2 linked regions of the Tamandua tetradactyla genome follow. Each later gene encodes a partner of the first gene's protein in a complex. Links are inferred from orthologs where the notes say so. Each region holds a gene or a part of one and is shown in the gene's direction. Other genes may lie near its edges.

Region 1 (7,912 bases):
CCTCAGTGAACCGAAATGAAGAGAATTTATTAAATCAACCATTATATTTTGAAAACTGTGCTTTTTTCCCCAACAGTAATACAGGCAAGCAATTTTACATTTCGAAGAGGTAAATGTGGCTTAAAAAGAAAAGCAGAACAGAGCAGACCACCGTGGTGCAATAGGCAGAGTTCTCACCTGCCATGCCAGAGACCTGGGTTCAATTCCTGGTGCCTGCCCAAGCAGGAAAAAAAAAAAAAGCTCTTACCAAAATGTTTCTCTGAAAGTACTGTTAAAAGTTTACCACCACTGAAACCCAACAAGAGTTGTATTAATTTTCTGGAGCTCTGCTAATGCAATGGGATATAGTTTTTGCTTACTCAAGGAGAGTAGGAGGAGCAAAATACTCAGTTAAAGTATTTGCATCTTTCATAATGGGAGAGAAAGCAAGACTGCTGATGTTTCCAATAGAATCTGGATCGATTATGGCTACATTTGGGCTGAACATTTTGTCTTTCGATTCTAGATATATGGGGACGGTCCCTGGATGAGTAGGTGATGCCATGGGCAGTCTGTTCCTATGTGAGCACGGGTCTTTTGAAGGCACGGATCCATTGTGAAGGCACGGATCCATTGTGGAGGCACGGATCCATTGTAAACCAGGCTCTCATTTATGAAAGAGTTGAGTGTGTTTGCCAAGATACTTATAGTTGTGTACATTTGGACAAGCACATTTGACTGAGCTATAATGACCTCCAGAAAATGTAAGTTGCTCTCTAGAAACTGGAACTGGGTGCATAATCAAAGATGTGACTAGTTTCATGGTTAAGAACATGGATTCTAGAGTCTGGCTGCTGGGCTTGCATCCCCATCTTGTCAATTAATAATCCTTAATTAAGAGTTCTACCACTCCGTGCCTCAGTTTCCTCATCTGTAAAGCAGAGGTAGCATTAGGGTTGATGTGAAGATTAAATGAAATTATGTATGTAGGATATTTAGCGTGGTGCCTGACACCCCCCGCCCCCATCTTAATAAATGGTAGCTTGTTTGTGGTAGAGCCAATTTCTCACTTTTACAAGGTCTGAAGATGTCTCAAGTGCTAAAGGTTGTTATATAATACCATTTAGACCTGTTAGCCACTTCCTTTGTATGCTTTATTTCAGAGAACTGTGATACGATTCTTGCATTATCAAGTGTATTTGGTTTTCTGAATCAGAGTCGCTGCTTCTAGTAAGAATCTGTAAATTTGCCTTAAGTAGTAGGTGTTGAAGGTCAGCAGTCTTGGGGTTAGATTTGTCTTTGAAGACCAGTCTCACTTAAATTTGTTCTACAGCGCCTTAATAGTTGCATGGCCTTTTTCTTCCATCCTACCACTAGTAAAGTGCCTTCCCTAAGGATGTTACATAAATGAGATGTGTAAATTCTGCAAAGAAAGATGCATTATGTATCTCTGTGTTTGCATATAACTTACCTACAGAAAAGCACACAGATCCTAAGGGTGCAGCTTGAGTTCTCACAAAGTGAATACACCCACATATCCAGCACCCCAATCAAGGAACAGAACATGACAAGCATCCCAGAAGCCCTGCTCATGTGTCCCTTCCCTGAAACCACACCCCCAACAGTGATCACCATCCCCAAGCAGCATTGGTGAGTTGAACTATTTTCACACCTAGATTTTGTGATAACAAGCATGCACTGGAAGACCAAATTGATGCATCAGCTGTTATCCCACCCACAGTGAAGGAAACCTGTGTTCTCTGATACGGAGCCAGGCTTCTCCGGGGTTAAGGGAAATTGGGGGATTTAATAGTTGATACAAATAAAGACAATAAGGAGAAGCAAGTGTCATACTTTTCAGAAGAGGGATAGCAAAAACATCCCAGGTGCAGATAACAAAGCTTGTGGTTACTGATTTAATACTTAAAGAGAAAGGTCCAAGGCAGCTATAATGTTGATGTTGGAATTGGCGTGTGGTAATACTGAATAGTAGCATCTTCTCCAGGAGAGGGAAGCCAGTGGTTTTCATGGGAGTTTTATTTAACATCTGAAGCGCATTGAGTGTTTGTTGCATTTGCATGCAGTGTGAACTAAGGCTTTGTGCTATAAGAAGCAATCTCTGGGGCGGGCCACAGTGGCTCAGCAGGTAAGAGTGCTTGCCTGCCAAGCCTGAGGACCTGGGTTCAATTCCCAGTGCCTGCCCATGTAAAAAAAAGAAAAGAAAAGAAAAGAAAAGCAGCAGTCTCTGCCCTCCAACAGTTTGTATATTGGCTGGGGAGAGAATTAAAAAAAAAAAAAACTAGGACAAGGAGAAGCCCTCAGTGAAGGAAGGCTGAATTGATTTTGACAGATGGGTAGAATTCAGAGAAAGAAAATAAGTAGGTGTACAAGATGGGAGGAGTCTAAGCCTCCCCACGGAAGTGGGGGTGTTCAGGTGGTCTTTTGGGGACAGTGAGGAGACAGACCAGTTTCAAGAGCACTGGGGGTTCTGCTACATGTGGCTGGAAAGTGCTTTTGTGAAAACCGTATGAATATAAGTTGCAACAGAGATAAACAGATGTGGGTCCAGGTTCCGATTCTGGGTCCCTCACTGACCATGGTAGCCCCAGAAAATTACTGGACCTCTTTTAGCCTCAGCAGCCAGAACTTACATCTAGCATTGTAATGAGAATTAAATTACATGAGATAATATACTTAAAGCACTTAGCATAATACCTAGCACATAGGGCCAAAATAAAATGCTAGCTACTATTATTACATACAAATGTCATGTGAGCCTGCAGTTTACTCAGGGAAGTTTTTAAGTTAAAGTCTTATAGCATTTCTCAGTTTCTTGAAGCTCAGGGTTCTGCAAATTTTTTCTTAAAAGACCAGATAGTAAATATTTTTATGGGTCATATGCGCCCTTGTAGCTCACAAGCAACCGTAGGTAATCCGTAAACATATAGATGTGGCTGTGTTCTAATAAAACTTTATCTATAAAATTAGGCAGCAGGCTGGATTTGGCCCTCAGGCTGTAGTTTCCTGACCCCTGTTATTTTCCTTGACCCAAACCCTTGTCTCAAAAGTATATATCAGGTTTAGAGAAGAGAAATGAACCATAGTTACAGACAAGAACATGTATATGTGTATGTATGAGTGTGTGCCCAAGAAGTCCTCACCCAGGTAGACTGGGAATCACTCTCAGAGAAGTTGGTGTGACCAGTCCTGCACTTACCCACCTCTCTGTTGTGACTGTCTTTGCCCATCAGGTCAGCCTTGTCGAGGGAACTGGACACTTTTAAGTCCCATCAAGTGTCTATGCATTCAGTTATTTGAAAATATTTGCTGAACACTTACTATGTGTTGGCACTGTTCTAGGCCTAAGGGTTATGGGAGTGAACAAAGGCAAATCAGGTCTGTGCCCTTATGGAGCTGATATTCAAGTAGCAGACGATGAGTGATAAATTAATAGACAGATAATAAAAAGATTAATTTGGATCCCAGTAAGTGTTAAGAAGGCACTAGGCAGGATAATATAAGGAATCAGCCAGAAGCTTGCTTTGGAGGAGGTGGTCCCAGAAGACTTCCCTAAGGACGTGATGTTGTATCCAGCAAGAAACACTGACTAGGATAACAAGGAAAAATCATTCTAAATATATAATAAGTAGTTATTTTTAAAAATACACAAATCCTCAGGCAGAGTTCTTGCCTGCCATGCCGGAGACCCGGGTTCAATTTCTGGTGCCTGCCCATGCGAAAAAACAAAACACAAATCCTATTTTGGGGTGATGAAAAGATTTTGTAGTGAAAAGAGATGATGGTACCATAATGCTGTAAAAATAACTAATGTCATAGAATTTGTATGCTTCAAAATGGTTGAAATGGCAAATTTTCATGTTGCTTATATATGTTACCACAATACTAATAATAAAAAGCCACACAAATTGCTCAAAAGTGTATGATGTAAAAAAATGAGTCCCCTTTTCTCCCTCTCCTCTGCCATGATTCCGCTCCCCTAAAGTAGGACAAATGAATTTTAAGAAACAGTCATCCCTCAGCGCCCGTGACTGAGCCACAGCCATCTCTTCCTAGGCCTCCCGCCTGCCTCCTCGATGTGGCAGGCACTTACGCCCGGCCACGTGAGGCCCTGAGTGCAGTTCTATTTCCGGCCGGGCACACCCCATGCTGAGCAGGAGTCCCAGTCAGGATCTACCAAGCTGCAGCTGTTGCTCAACCCGGCCCGTCTGGGTGGCTGCAGGGCCCCCCTGGGCTGATGAGCTTTTCCCTATTTTCCCACTCCACACATAAGTTAGATCTGCTACTGCGTTAAAAATTAGCTGCTGATTGAAAATTCTGGAGAAGGACTGGTTGATATCTGTGAGAATCATGTTGGCCATTTGGTTTAGATTAATTGGGTTTTTCTCTCTAATCTCATGGAAAAAAACTCTTAAGAGTTTTAAATGTTCTGAAATCCCTGAGGACCTACACCAGGGCAAAGATCTAAATAAAATACTTCAGGCACATGTATTTTACTGTGGAAGTGGTAAGGACCAGGTTTCCTTCTCCTGGCTTCCTCTTCCTCTGCCTATGTGCTCATGTTGGTAGCAGAGGCCGCAGCTATTTCTCTTCTCCTTTCCTCTCTTCTACAGAATCGAGGCCATCCAGAAGGTCCCCAGCCAGGATCCTCTGAGGTGTGCACAGCGGGCTCCCCAGCCTATGAGTAACTCCATCCAATAGGCTCCCTGTTTGAAAGGGGTGAACTACAGCTGACTTTCTGATCACAGCAACCATTAACACTTGGGAGTTTCAGATGGAGCACTGAAAAGAAATTCCCAGCAAGATTTCTTGGGGTGGGTGGGGGTGGGGGTGAGAGGGTGGGACTAGGTCCAGAATATGGGAAGAAAGGAGCTGGTGTTAAGAGTGTGAGCACGGTGGGGAGAGTTAGGTTGGCATTTGTAGATCCCGTGGGGTTCTCTGGGTCCTTCTGCACTCTTGGGTCACTGGTGCTTGTCTCAGACCTCAGGATTCATCACCATGGCAAGAGCGTGAAGCTCGTGGAACCCCTGTGTCTAAGGAAAGTCTTTTCTCCCTTAGGATAAAGGACTTTTCCAGGTAGTCTCACTGATAAGGCAGTTTTCTCAGCTGGAGCTCTGCAGTGCAGAAACCTGGTAAAATGAACAACTCCAAACCCAGAATCTCTTCCTTGAGAGTAAACTAGCCAGCAGGCCTGGCTTGTTTGAGCAAACTTTCATTTCCAGCCCTGTCCGTCTCCTCATTGTTGCTTGCTCAAGGTGCAAACATCCTAAAACTTCCATTTGAGACAGAACAAGGAAGATTTCTGGGTGAGTCCATTTGGCTGGAGCTGTTGTTTATTGTAACTGTCCCAGGGCCCTGAATGCAGGTCCGCTCTTCTCAACAAAGCGGCTGGCCCTGCCTCCCCATCATTATCTCCCATTCTACGTATTTGTGATTTATCTTTCCCCCCTTGCTTATAAGTGTGTACAAATATTATGGAAATTAATGAGAAAGAAAGTATTAGTTTCCTATAATCCCCACAATTTGTATTTAAGGTTGGAACTAACAGATTCTAAGAAGCCTAATCAGATGTGAGAACAAGGAAGAGACTAGTGAAATCCATAAAAATCTCTAGACTTAATGTTAGTGAGAAATTAACTTTTTCTCTTCACGTTTTCCCCCAAAGTCCTTTGTTTTTTCGGTGTTAACAGACTACTGAGGCATGAAGTATCCAAACGCAATGGGAGGCAGGGGAGTTACAGAACCTCCAAGAATCCTTACACTGAGTCAGCACCTGCTGTATGCCAGGCACTGTGTGATGTGTTTTCACGTGCTTTCTCATCTCGTCTCGGAGCAGGTCTACAGGATGGCTTATGATCCAGTGTTATACATGAGGGAGGTGAGATTTGGAGACGTAAGGTTATGACGCTTGTAGGGGCAGAGTTGGGATTTGAACTATTTTCTGGCTCCTGCTCCTTCAATCTCTGAGTCTTTTCCATCTCTGTGATGTCTGTCTTGAGATTATGACAGGTAATATGTCCCCACAGGTCAGTCCTGTGGGCTGGTCCCCCATAAAACCACCCATTCATTTAACAAGTATTTGTTGAATGACTGTTCTGTGCTGAGTACATTCCTAGGCATTAGGAATCAGCAGTGATCAAAACATACCAAGAAGCTTCTGTCCCCATGGGGCTTATATTCTAGATGGGGAGACAGACATGAAACAAATTGCAGTGGGACAGTGTACACCCTCCCAGACATTCCTGTGGATTTGTAGTCCATGAAGTTCTCATTCTTCTTAGCCCTGGATTTACATTTTCAATCTGTGAAGTATTTGTGTTATCTGGGACTTGGAAAGCAGGCAAGGATCTCCCCAGTGACCTCCAGACCTAATGTGATTTAAACAGGGATTTGATGACGCTTTTTCCGTAGTAACAAACAGGGCATCATGCACTCATGAGGTCATGTTGTAGGTCCAGCAGAGGAAAAGGGAAGTGAGAGATGAACACAGACCCGGTAAAGCCTTCTTTGCTTTGGAGGACTGGCTAAAATGATGCTTTGAAAACTCTCTTCCTCCTGCCAGTGCCACACACAGCACTGAGCGTGGGGCGCTCAGAAAGCACGGCCCTGGCACGGGGATCCTGCAGCTCCAGTCCTGTCCCAGCAGAAAAGGGCTTGAGTGGACTCGTGGTTGCTGCATGTTCCTTCTGGCCATTGGTTGCCTTCTGGTTGTTTGCCTAGGGACCTCTTGGCGGAGCCTTTTACCATCTTCCCTCCCACTTTGAAAGGAATCCGTGGTTCTTATGTACGAGGTCAAGCTCTGCTGAGTTCAGAGGCGGAACAATCATTGTTCCTTGAGCTTGGACACTTGCCTTGTAAGAAGGAAAAGGATTTAACTGCCTTGGGGAACCATAGGTTGTGAAAATACCTAAGCGTTCTGGTCCCTACGAGGCTCGTCCCTTCAGTTGTCACACTCTTTCTGTTGTCTAAATACGTTTGTTCTCCACGGGGCCAGTAGGGAGGATGCTGTTACCTGGCGACCTCTCCCTGGGCAGCAGAAGGGAGCTGCACATCCCTTGTGGTGAGCAGGGATCAGCGGCACAGCCATGGAGCACAGAGTGGTCAGACAGTTTAAAACATGCACGCCGCTTCCCTGTCTAGCCTCACAAACTCTCTCGAGGTGGGTAGGGGAAGTAGTTTTTTATCCTGCTCCATAAATATAGAAGTGGTGACCCTTCTCTCCCCCCACCTCCACCTCCAGTACAGCCTGCGAGCTGGTAGCAGAGTTAGAATCCAGAGCACCCGATCTGTTTAGTATTATAACCTCTTCTTGGTTTTGCTCGACCAGGGAGAATGTACAAAAGGAGGGCATCCATAACCATTTTATTTTCATTTCGCCATTTATAACCTTTCACAGCCATCTTAGGGTTAGCTTTTACAGACCAATTCTGGAAAGATTGTTTGGTGTCAACCATAGTACTAGAAATAGTTTTGCATTCTTTGTGTGTCTATAAGAGAGAAATGAGACAGAGAGGGCTAGGCTCTGGCAGCTCAGAGCAAACAGAGTGTGGGACCAACCCTAATTAAAATGCTCAGTGCAGGCATTTCTTGGCCTGCTGGAGAAAGCCACCCACGTTTCCCTGCAGCCACGGGACCTGGCGCAATCCGGGAAGGCCAGTCTTCCCCAAGTTCTTAGGAGGAGCGCCATCCTCCTGGCTTTGAGAGACAGCCCCAACGGGTGCAGCCCACCCGTTCTCAGTCTCAGGGCCTAAGCAAGTTCGAGGAATCAGGAGCAGGCAAAGAGCAGCCTAGCAAATCCAAGGTATAAGGTGTGGTCTCTGAACGTGACTCGTAGTTAATGGACTCCAGGGAGAAACAACTTTAACAAAAAATCACTTTATTTTGCCCCCTCTCATCATTCTCAGCTGACCTTGCT
Region 2 (8,018 bases), on another chromosome or scaffold:
ATTTCCATATACCCAATTTACTTTACTCTTTGTCCCCGCTCTTATTTATTTATTCCTTATCCATATTTTTTACTCCTTGTCCATACCGTGGATAAAAGGAGCAATAGACAGAAGGTTTTCACAATCCCACAGTCACACTGTACAAGTTGTATCTTTATACAATTGTCTTCAAGAATCAAAGCTACTGAAACATAGCTCAACAGTTTCAGGTACTTCTCTCCAGCTACTTCAATACACCATAAACTAAAAAGGGATTTCTATATAATGTGTAAGAATAACCTCCAGGATAACCTCTTGACTCTGTTTGAAATCCCTCAGCCACTGAAACTTTATTTTGTCTCAGTCTCTCTTCCCACTTTTGGTCAAGAAGATTTTCTCATGATGCTGGATTGAGGCTCATCCCAGGAGTTCTGTCCCACTTTGCCAGGGGGAACATATTGAGTGTTGATTTAGGTAGAAATGGTCTCGGTCCTTAAGGGGTTTATAAATTAAAATTATTTCCTGAAGTGTGATATTTCCCTCCTCTGTGAATCAGTTTTACTGTAGGTAAATCTAGAATGGTCTTCAAGGATTCATTCATCTCTGATGCCGTAAAAATTTACCTTTCTTACACAGTCACACAGCAAATATGCAGGTCAATCTTATCTTTTGCCTCTGCGCCCTCCATCCACATTCCCAGGACACTGGGGTTCCTGACCTTTTACGTAATCTGTGAATGGATCCATGTGTCCGAGCACATGAACCTGGGTTCCCATTCTTTTAACTTAATTCTAGACAAAGATCAAAGGGAACAGTACACTGGGCTTTACACACTACTGAGCTCACCCAGCAGAAAATGCCTCCTCAGTTAAAACAGTAACTAAAGGTGGTGTCCTTGCTTCTATTTTAGAGATGAGAAACTGAACCTTTGAACTGTTAACCAATCGTCCAGAACTACTATAATAATTAGCATTTAGTGAGTGCTAATGCTGCATTGTGCATTGGTATTGGACTCTTCCATTTACACCTCACAATAACCCTCTGAGGCAGATAATAATGGTATCTTCTTTTCCAGGAAATGGAGGCACAGAGAGGTTGAGCTCCTTGCCCAGATCACACAGCTAAGATCTGTGTGATTGGAATCAGTCAATTTAATGATGTAGCCAGTGCTCAATAATTATATTATCTGCTTTTCATTACCTTACTTAATCTAATTTAATATTATTTTATGTAATCCTCATTTTAATGCTGTGAGTTAGGTATTATCAATGATTTGCTGGTAAATGCATAACAGCTGATTCTCTGGGAGGGAAAAAAGTCCTAATTCAAAGTGTTTGTCAATTTCTGAGGTGTAGATACTTCCCCCCGTGGTTAATTTCAAGTTACCAAAAGTGATATTTCTGAACATGGAGTAGGGAAGAGATGCCCAGTAGCCCTCTGTTGTATATCCACCACAGGGATACAATTTCGTTATATATATATATATATATATATATGAAATTAGCTTATTTATTAATTTATTGTTCATTGTCTATCTCTTCCATCAGAATGGAAGCTGCCTGACAGCAGAAACCTAAATGCCTACTAAGTAGCGTTCCCACTACTAACTAAAGGCAAAATCATTGCCTTTAGTTAATGTAATAGCCTCCTTACTGGTCTCACTGCTTCTGCTCTTGTCCTCCTGCAGTCAGTTCCCCTTGGAGCCACCAAAGTGAACTTTTCAAAAGCTCCCACTATACTGAGAGTGAAATCCAAACTAGGGCCACCATGTCCTACTTCACCTGGTCTGACCCTCTTTCTCCATCCTCTTCTTCCACTGCCTCTCTTACTAATCGGCGTTTCTCACCCTGTCTTTCGGTCCCTAGAACATGTCCTGTTCCTTCCACCATCAAGGTCTTTGCTGTTCTCTCTGCCTGGGATGCTTTTGCACCAGATGTATGTTCTCTTTCTCACTCACCCAATTCTCTGCACCCAGGGCTGCCTCCTCCAAGAGGGCTACTCTCTGCCTCCTTCTCCTGTTCAGTTTTTTCCATAACATTTATCACTACCAGGCATTATATCCTATATTATTTATGGTATTATATGTGTCCCACACTTGAAGGTAAGTAAACTCCATGACAACAGGGGCTTTTTCAAAAAATTGAAAGCCGTAAGGATATTTTATTTGCTTTTCAATCAAATTAAAATTTGGAACAGGCAACCCATTTACATGGTTGAAAAGTCAAAGAGATATAAAAAGGTACCCAGAGGACTCATTCGCATTCATGCCCATGGCCACCTGGATCCCATAAATCCATTTTTTATCACTATATTATTTATCCTTCCAGTATTTCTTTATGCAAATATATACGTGCATATATTTTCTTTTCTATCTTACACCAAAGCACTTTGCTTTTTTGTTTCTTGTGAATACTTCCTGGATGTCATTCAAATCTGTCCATAAAGAACTTCCTCGTTTTGTTTTTTTTCTCATTCTTTTTTAAAAAATAATTTTTAAGTTTTTTACATTGTGTTACCATATATAGAAAGCACAATATTTGCCATTTTAACCACTTTTAGATGTGCAAGTCATTTGCAATCAATGCAAATGTGCATTGATTACTTTTGCAGTATTGTGCTACCGTTACCACCTTCCATTACTAAAACTTTCATCATCCAAACAGAAACTCTTTACCTGTTAAGCAATAATCCTTCATCCCCCCTTCTGGTTTTTTTTTTTTTTTTTAGAGGAGTTGTATGTTTGCAGCAAAATCCTGATAAAACACAGAGTTTTCATATACCATCCTATTATTAACATCCGTCATTAGCATGGAACATTTGTTGCAACTGATGAAGGAATATTTTTATAATTGAACTATAGTGCATGGTTTATCCTAGGGTTCAATGTTTGCTTTGTATAGTCCTATGTATTTTCTTTTTAAAAAATTTATTCTAGTAACATATATACAACCCCAAATTCCCCCTTTTCACTGAATTCAAATATACATTTTAGGGCTTTTAATTATGTTCACAATGTTGTGTTGCTATCTCACCATCCATTACCCAAATTTTCCCACCATGCCAGATAGAAGCCCTGTACAATTAAAACATGAACTTCACATCCCCAACTGTTACCTCAGTCCCAGGTAACCTAAATTATAGTTTTTTACTCTATGAATTTGCGTATTCTATTTCATAACTGTGAGATCATACAATAGTTGTCATTTTTGTGTTTGTCCTGTTTCACTCAACATATCTCCAAGCTTCATCCATGTTGTCACATGCATCAAAACTTCATTTTTTATGACTGAGTAATATTCCATTGCATGTATAAACCACATTTTGTTTATCCATTCATCAATCAATGGACTCTTGTGTTGCTTCCATCTTTTGGCAATTGTGAATAATGCCACTATGAACACTGGTGTGCAAATATCTGTTTCAATCTCTGCTTCCACTTCTTGGAGGTCAATATTTAGTAGTGGGATTCCTAGGTCATGTGATAGTTCTATACTTAGCTTTCTGAGGAAATGCCAAGCAGTCTTCCACAGTGGCTGCACCATTTTACATTCCCAACAATGAATGAGTGTTCTTATTTCTTCACATCCTCTTCAGTACTTGTAGTTTTTCAATTTTTTTAATAGTTGCCATTCTAGTGGATTGGCTAATGACATGGAACAACTTTTCATGCGTTTTCTTTTTAACATTTTCTTTATCGTGAAATAGAACATACACAAAAAGCAATACATTTCCAAATACATTTTTACAAGTAGTTGTAGAACAAATTTTAAAATTTGGTATGGGTTATAGTCCCAAGATTTTTCATTTTTTCTTCTAGCTGCTCCAGAACACTGGAGACCAAAAGAAATATCAATATAATGATTCGGCAGTCTCATTGGATAAATCTTATCTTCTCTGTTATACTCCTTCTCTCTCCTTTTTTTTGTGATAAACAGCATATATACAAAAAAAAGCAATACATTTCAAACTACATCGCAACAATTAGTTGTAGAACAGATTTCAGAGTTTGGTATGAGTTACAATTCCACAATTTTTCATTTTTACTTCTAGCTGCTCTCAGGTACTGGAAACTAAAAGAAACATTGATATAATGATTCAGTAATCATACTCATTTGTTAAACCTTACCACCATCACCTTTGATTTTTCTCTCACTTTTTAGGGGTATTTGGGCTGTGCTCACTCTAGCTTTTTCATTTTCATGTTTTTTTTCCATTTGTATATCCTCTTTGTAGAAATGTGTATTCGAGTCTTTTGCCATTTTTAGATTGGGTTATATATCTTTTTGCTGTTCAGTTGTAGGATTTCTTTATATATTCTGGATAGTAAACCCTTATCAGATATGTGGTTTCCAAATATTTCCTCCCACTGTGTAGGTTGTCATTTTAATTTCATTACAAATTCCTTTGATCCACAGAAGTTTTTAATTTTGGTGAGGTTCCATTCATCTGTTTTTTCACTTCTTGCTTGTGCTTTGGGTGTAAATCTCAGAAATCACTGCCTAACACAAGGTCCTGGAGATGCTAGGAGTTTTATAGTTCTCGTTCTTATATTTAGGTCTTTGATCCATTTTAAGTAGATCCTCATTCATTTTTTACAAGTCTGTAGTATTCCATTTTTGGGATCTAACATAGTTTATTTAATCAGATCCTTATCGTGGCTTTCTATCTTTTCCTATTACCAACAATGTAGGTCAAGAATTTTTATCCCATGATGAATTCCTCAGAGTCCTGTAGTCTTCTGCAAGGGTTAGATGCACAATGAATGAATGAATGAATGAATGAATGAATGAGTGAGTGAGTGAGTGAGTGAATGAATAAGCGAGTGAATGAGTGACTGAGAGAATGGAGATGAGTGAAGGAATGATATTAACCAACAATGAATGAGCTAAGGAGGGGTGATGACCTAGGACAGCCGATCGGAAGGCTGAGCTGCGGGATAGCCCCACCAGGTGGCGTTGCGCGCGGCGGGCGCACCTGGCCAGAGAATTACGCCGCTCTTGCCGTGGGCGCCGGCATCTGCGCGGGGACGGACGTAGGGGGAGGGCGAGTCATATGACCCGCTCGGCTTCCTGGCTCCGGCCGCCGCCGCCCGCCAGTGTCAGCCCGCGTCGCCCCGGGACCCCGAGGAGCCGTTGAGGGGTCCGGGCTACGGCCCGTTCGTGTGGGAGCCGTTGCCGCCACCGCCCGTCCATCTGGTTGCCGGTCCTGATTTCTAGCCGCCATCATGCTGGCGCTCATCTCCCGCCTGCTGGACTGGTTCCGCTCGCTCTTCTGGAAGGAGGAGATGGAGCTGACGCTGGTGGGGCTGCAGTACTCTGGCAAGACTACGTTCGTCAATGTCATCGCGGTGAGCTTCGCCGGCCCGCTCGGGGTTCCGTGGTGCGCGAGTCCGGCCCAGCTTTTTCCCTCTGGCTCGGGTTGGGCTTTCCTCAGCGCCAGGGGACAAATGTCGAGGGTGGGGGGAGAGGCGAGAGGGCTACCAGGCCCGGCCAGGATTTGGAATTCCCCGCGAGGTGGTGGCTGACGTGTAGTGCTGAGATCGGCAGCTGAAGGGTTAATTCCGTCTAGTCATTTTCGAAGGACTGTGTCTTCGACGCCACTGGGGCTTGGAAAGGGTTAAATTGGACTTGCCACGTTTTTAAAGTGCTTGAAACTGGGCATTCTCTCGAGTTTGCTCAGTAAGGGTAACTGACGGGTTAACTCTGGACTGTCATTTTCCCCGTAGGGTAGCTAGACCCTCAGATTTGCGGGAAAGCGAAAGGATTAAGAGCCTCCTTCAAATCACCACTTGGGACGAAGGGCTCCTTTATGAGAAAGGCGGGAGACCAGTACGGTCTGAATTGTATATGCTCGGTTTGGCTCCTGTAATTCTACAAATCTCTCTTTTCTTCGGTTATTCCTTTTCGCTCATCTTCCAGGGGCCGAGATCCAGCTGATTGCTGAGCCTGCTGCTAGAAGCTGGGTAGGGATAGGACTAGTCAGTCGACGGTAGTTCAACGATATTAATCTGTGGTGTTAGGGGGCCTTGCTTTTGCAGAGCTAGTTGTTTTAAACGAGGAGATGCAGTGTGGTCAGCAGAGTTTATTACCTTGTGAATGAAAGGTTGGTCTTTTGAGGATGTTTGTCACTTGAAGAGAAGAGAAGGGATTGAGCAGAAACACGGTTTATTCCAGGCTCGGGAATAGGTTTCCAGTAAGGTCATTTCCCAGGGAATTTATACATTGTGGTGTTTATTCAGCAATGACTGAATGGAAGGATGATTAAGATTCTTTTGTTAATTGGTTTGTTGGGGAAGGAACAGAAGTGAAGCATTTTTATCAGCCTTTATTTAGAGCCCAGGGGTTGCTGTGACTCAATCAGCCAATAAGAGTTTGTAGAGGCCAGGGATTAGATGTAGAACAGTTCTAAAGAGAAATGCCATCAGTTCTGTCTCCTTTAAGATGACATTTGAAATCCCTGTTTAGCAGGAGACTAGGAGTTCAACTGGTTTGGTTACAGGAATGACTCAAACATGTTTTGTTCTCTTGTTGGAGAAAATAGGTAACTTGTGATTCTTAGTCCTTGCAGTAATATAGCAACAGGAGTCAGTAAAACTTGAAAAAAGAGAGATGAATACAATCCAAACTGCCTCTGAGGAATGTTTCATTGAAATATAAAGAAAACTTGCTTGTTTATTGGCTTTTTTTTGTAATATGATGTTCTTTTTTTGGGGAAAGGAAACTTGAAATGATTATTTTTTTTCATGGATATAGTAGTGTGAAATGTGTATCTAAAACCACTAAAAATACAGAAAAACAAGCTAAGTATCCATTTAAGAACTTTCATATGTAGAAAAGAGAGACTTTAACCTGAGTGAAGCTGAGCTCAGTTAACTATATAAATTTTATCATGCTCCTTTGAGATAAGAATTGGAGTCACTTTGTAAATCCTATCCCTTTGATCAGATTGATCTAATTTATAGTGTAGGTACATATACAATTCTAATAATTGTGCTTGTTACAAAGCAGTAGTTGTATTTGGAAAAGTTAAAAAAATTGATATAATGATGAAGTCAGGCAGCCTTGGGTTTGAAATGTAGCTCTGCCACTTGGCAGTTTTGTATCCTCTTTGAGTCCTAGCTTTCCTATCTATTAAATGGGAATAATAATATATTCCTTACAGAGTTGCTTTTAACGTCTGAAATGACACATGTTAATTGAGGAGCAGCATGCCTAGCCATGATAACTTATTTGTAGTGAGTAACATCATTTAATGCAGAAACAATGTTTTGAAATGTATTGAGGAGGGACTCAGCTGGGGTCATTTCCTTTTTTAAATCTCTGTATGCATCCAAATTTGGGCTGCAGTAATGGATTTATGGATTGGGGCAAATAATCACATCATGTCTCCCCCCCATTCTCTCTTTTTAGTATTAGATTATTTTACTTTAAAAAAATCTAGAAATCTGTTGAACTCAAATTGAATCATTGGTTTCAATGTTATGTTAATGTTAGATTATATTGTGTTTGAATTGTAATGGTATACTAGGTTCTCTTAAGAAATATGGACTGTAACTGGCTGTGGCCTTTAAAATGGCTCAAAGAAGGGAGGCCTCAGGAAACTTCATGCTTTTTTTTTCTTCCTTTTAATTTTTTTTGTCTCAGACTCTAACCTAACTTGTGATTTTTTTGGAATATAGTGAGGGGGAGGGAAAAATTGATTAAAGTTGATTTTACAGACTTTCAGATAGAAACAATGTATCCAGAAGAGTAAATTTATGCTTACTTTTTTAAAAAGTGACTCGGCTCTCTGTATTATAGAAGGCTTTATTTGTAGGCTCAGAGAAGTGCAGATGTATTGAGCACTGTGTATCACTTTTGAAAATTGGGCACCTATTTACTCAGATTTAGCAAGTAACTTCCCAGATTTCAAAAGCTTCTTCTAAAACCATTTGTCTTTTTGTCATACTGAATCATGTCAGTATTACAAAACTTTTGTAAAAATTAAAGTAAATCTAGCTATATTTTCTCTCTTAAAAGTTAAGAAAGATTTTGTAAATA

Evidence for each region.
Region 2: the proteins of PLEKHM2 (region 1) and ARL8B are in contact, whole or in part, in a crystal structure (PDB 8JCA), measured with the Homo sapiens proteins. The link is inferred for Tamandua tetradactyla from reciprocal best matches to the Homo sapiens genes PLEKHM2 and ARL8B. Residues at the interface, in NP_055979.2 of Homo sapiens: His70, Phe71, Thr72, Arg73, Arg74, Glu75, Glu103, Ser105, Glu107, Ser108, Tyr109, Arg111, Leu112, Glu115, Glu147, Phe148; in NP_060654.1 of Homo sapiens: Glu22, Thr52, Val53, Gly54, Phe55, Asn56, Met57, Lys68, Trp70, Arg77, Phe78, Arg84, Tyr85, Arg87, Gly88, Val89.

What each region holds. Positions count from the first base shown.
Region 1 is NC_135328.1:210,183,921-210,191,832, reverse strand, and holds the start of PLEKHM2 (pleckstrin homology domain-containing family M member 2), read left to right. Parts: upstream 1-4,875; 5' UTR 4,876-5,303; exon of another isoform or gene 5,304-5,687; 5' UTR 5,688-5,698; coding exon 5,699-5,875; intron 5,876-7,912. UniProt on the Homo sapiens protein: Plays a role in lysosomes movement and localization at the cell periphery acting as an effector of ARL8B.
Region 2 is NC_135335.1:44,398,596-44,406,613, reverse strand, and holds the start of ARL8B (ADP-ribosylation factor-like protein 8B), read left to right. Parts: upstream 1-5,000; 5' UTR 5,001-5,203; coding exon 5,204-5,326; intron 5,327-8,018. UniProt on the Homo sapiens protein: Small GTPase which cycles between active GTP-bound and inactive GDP-bound states.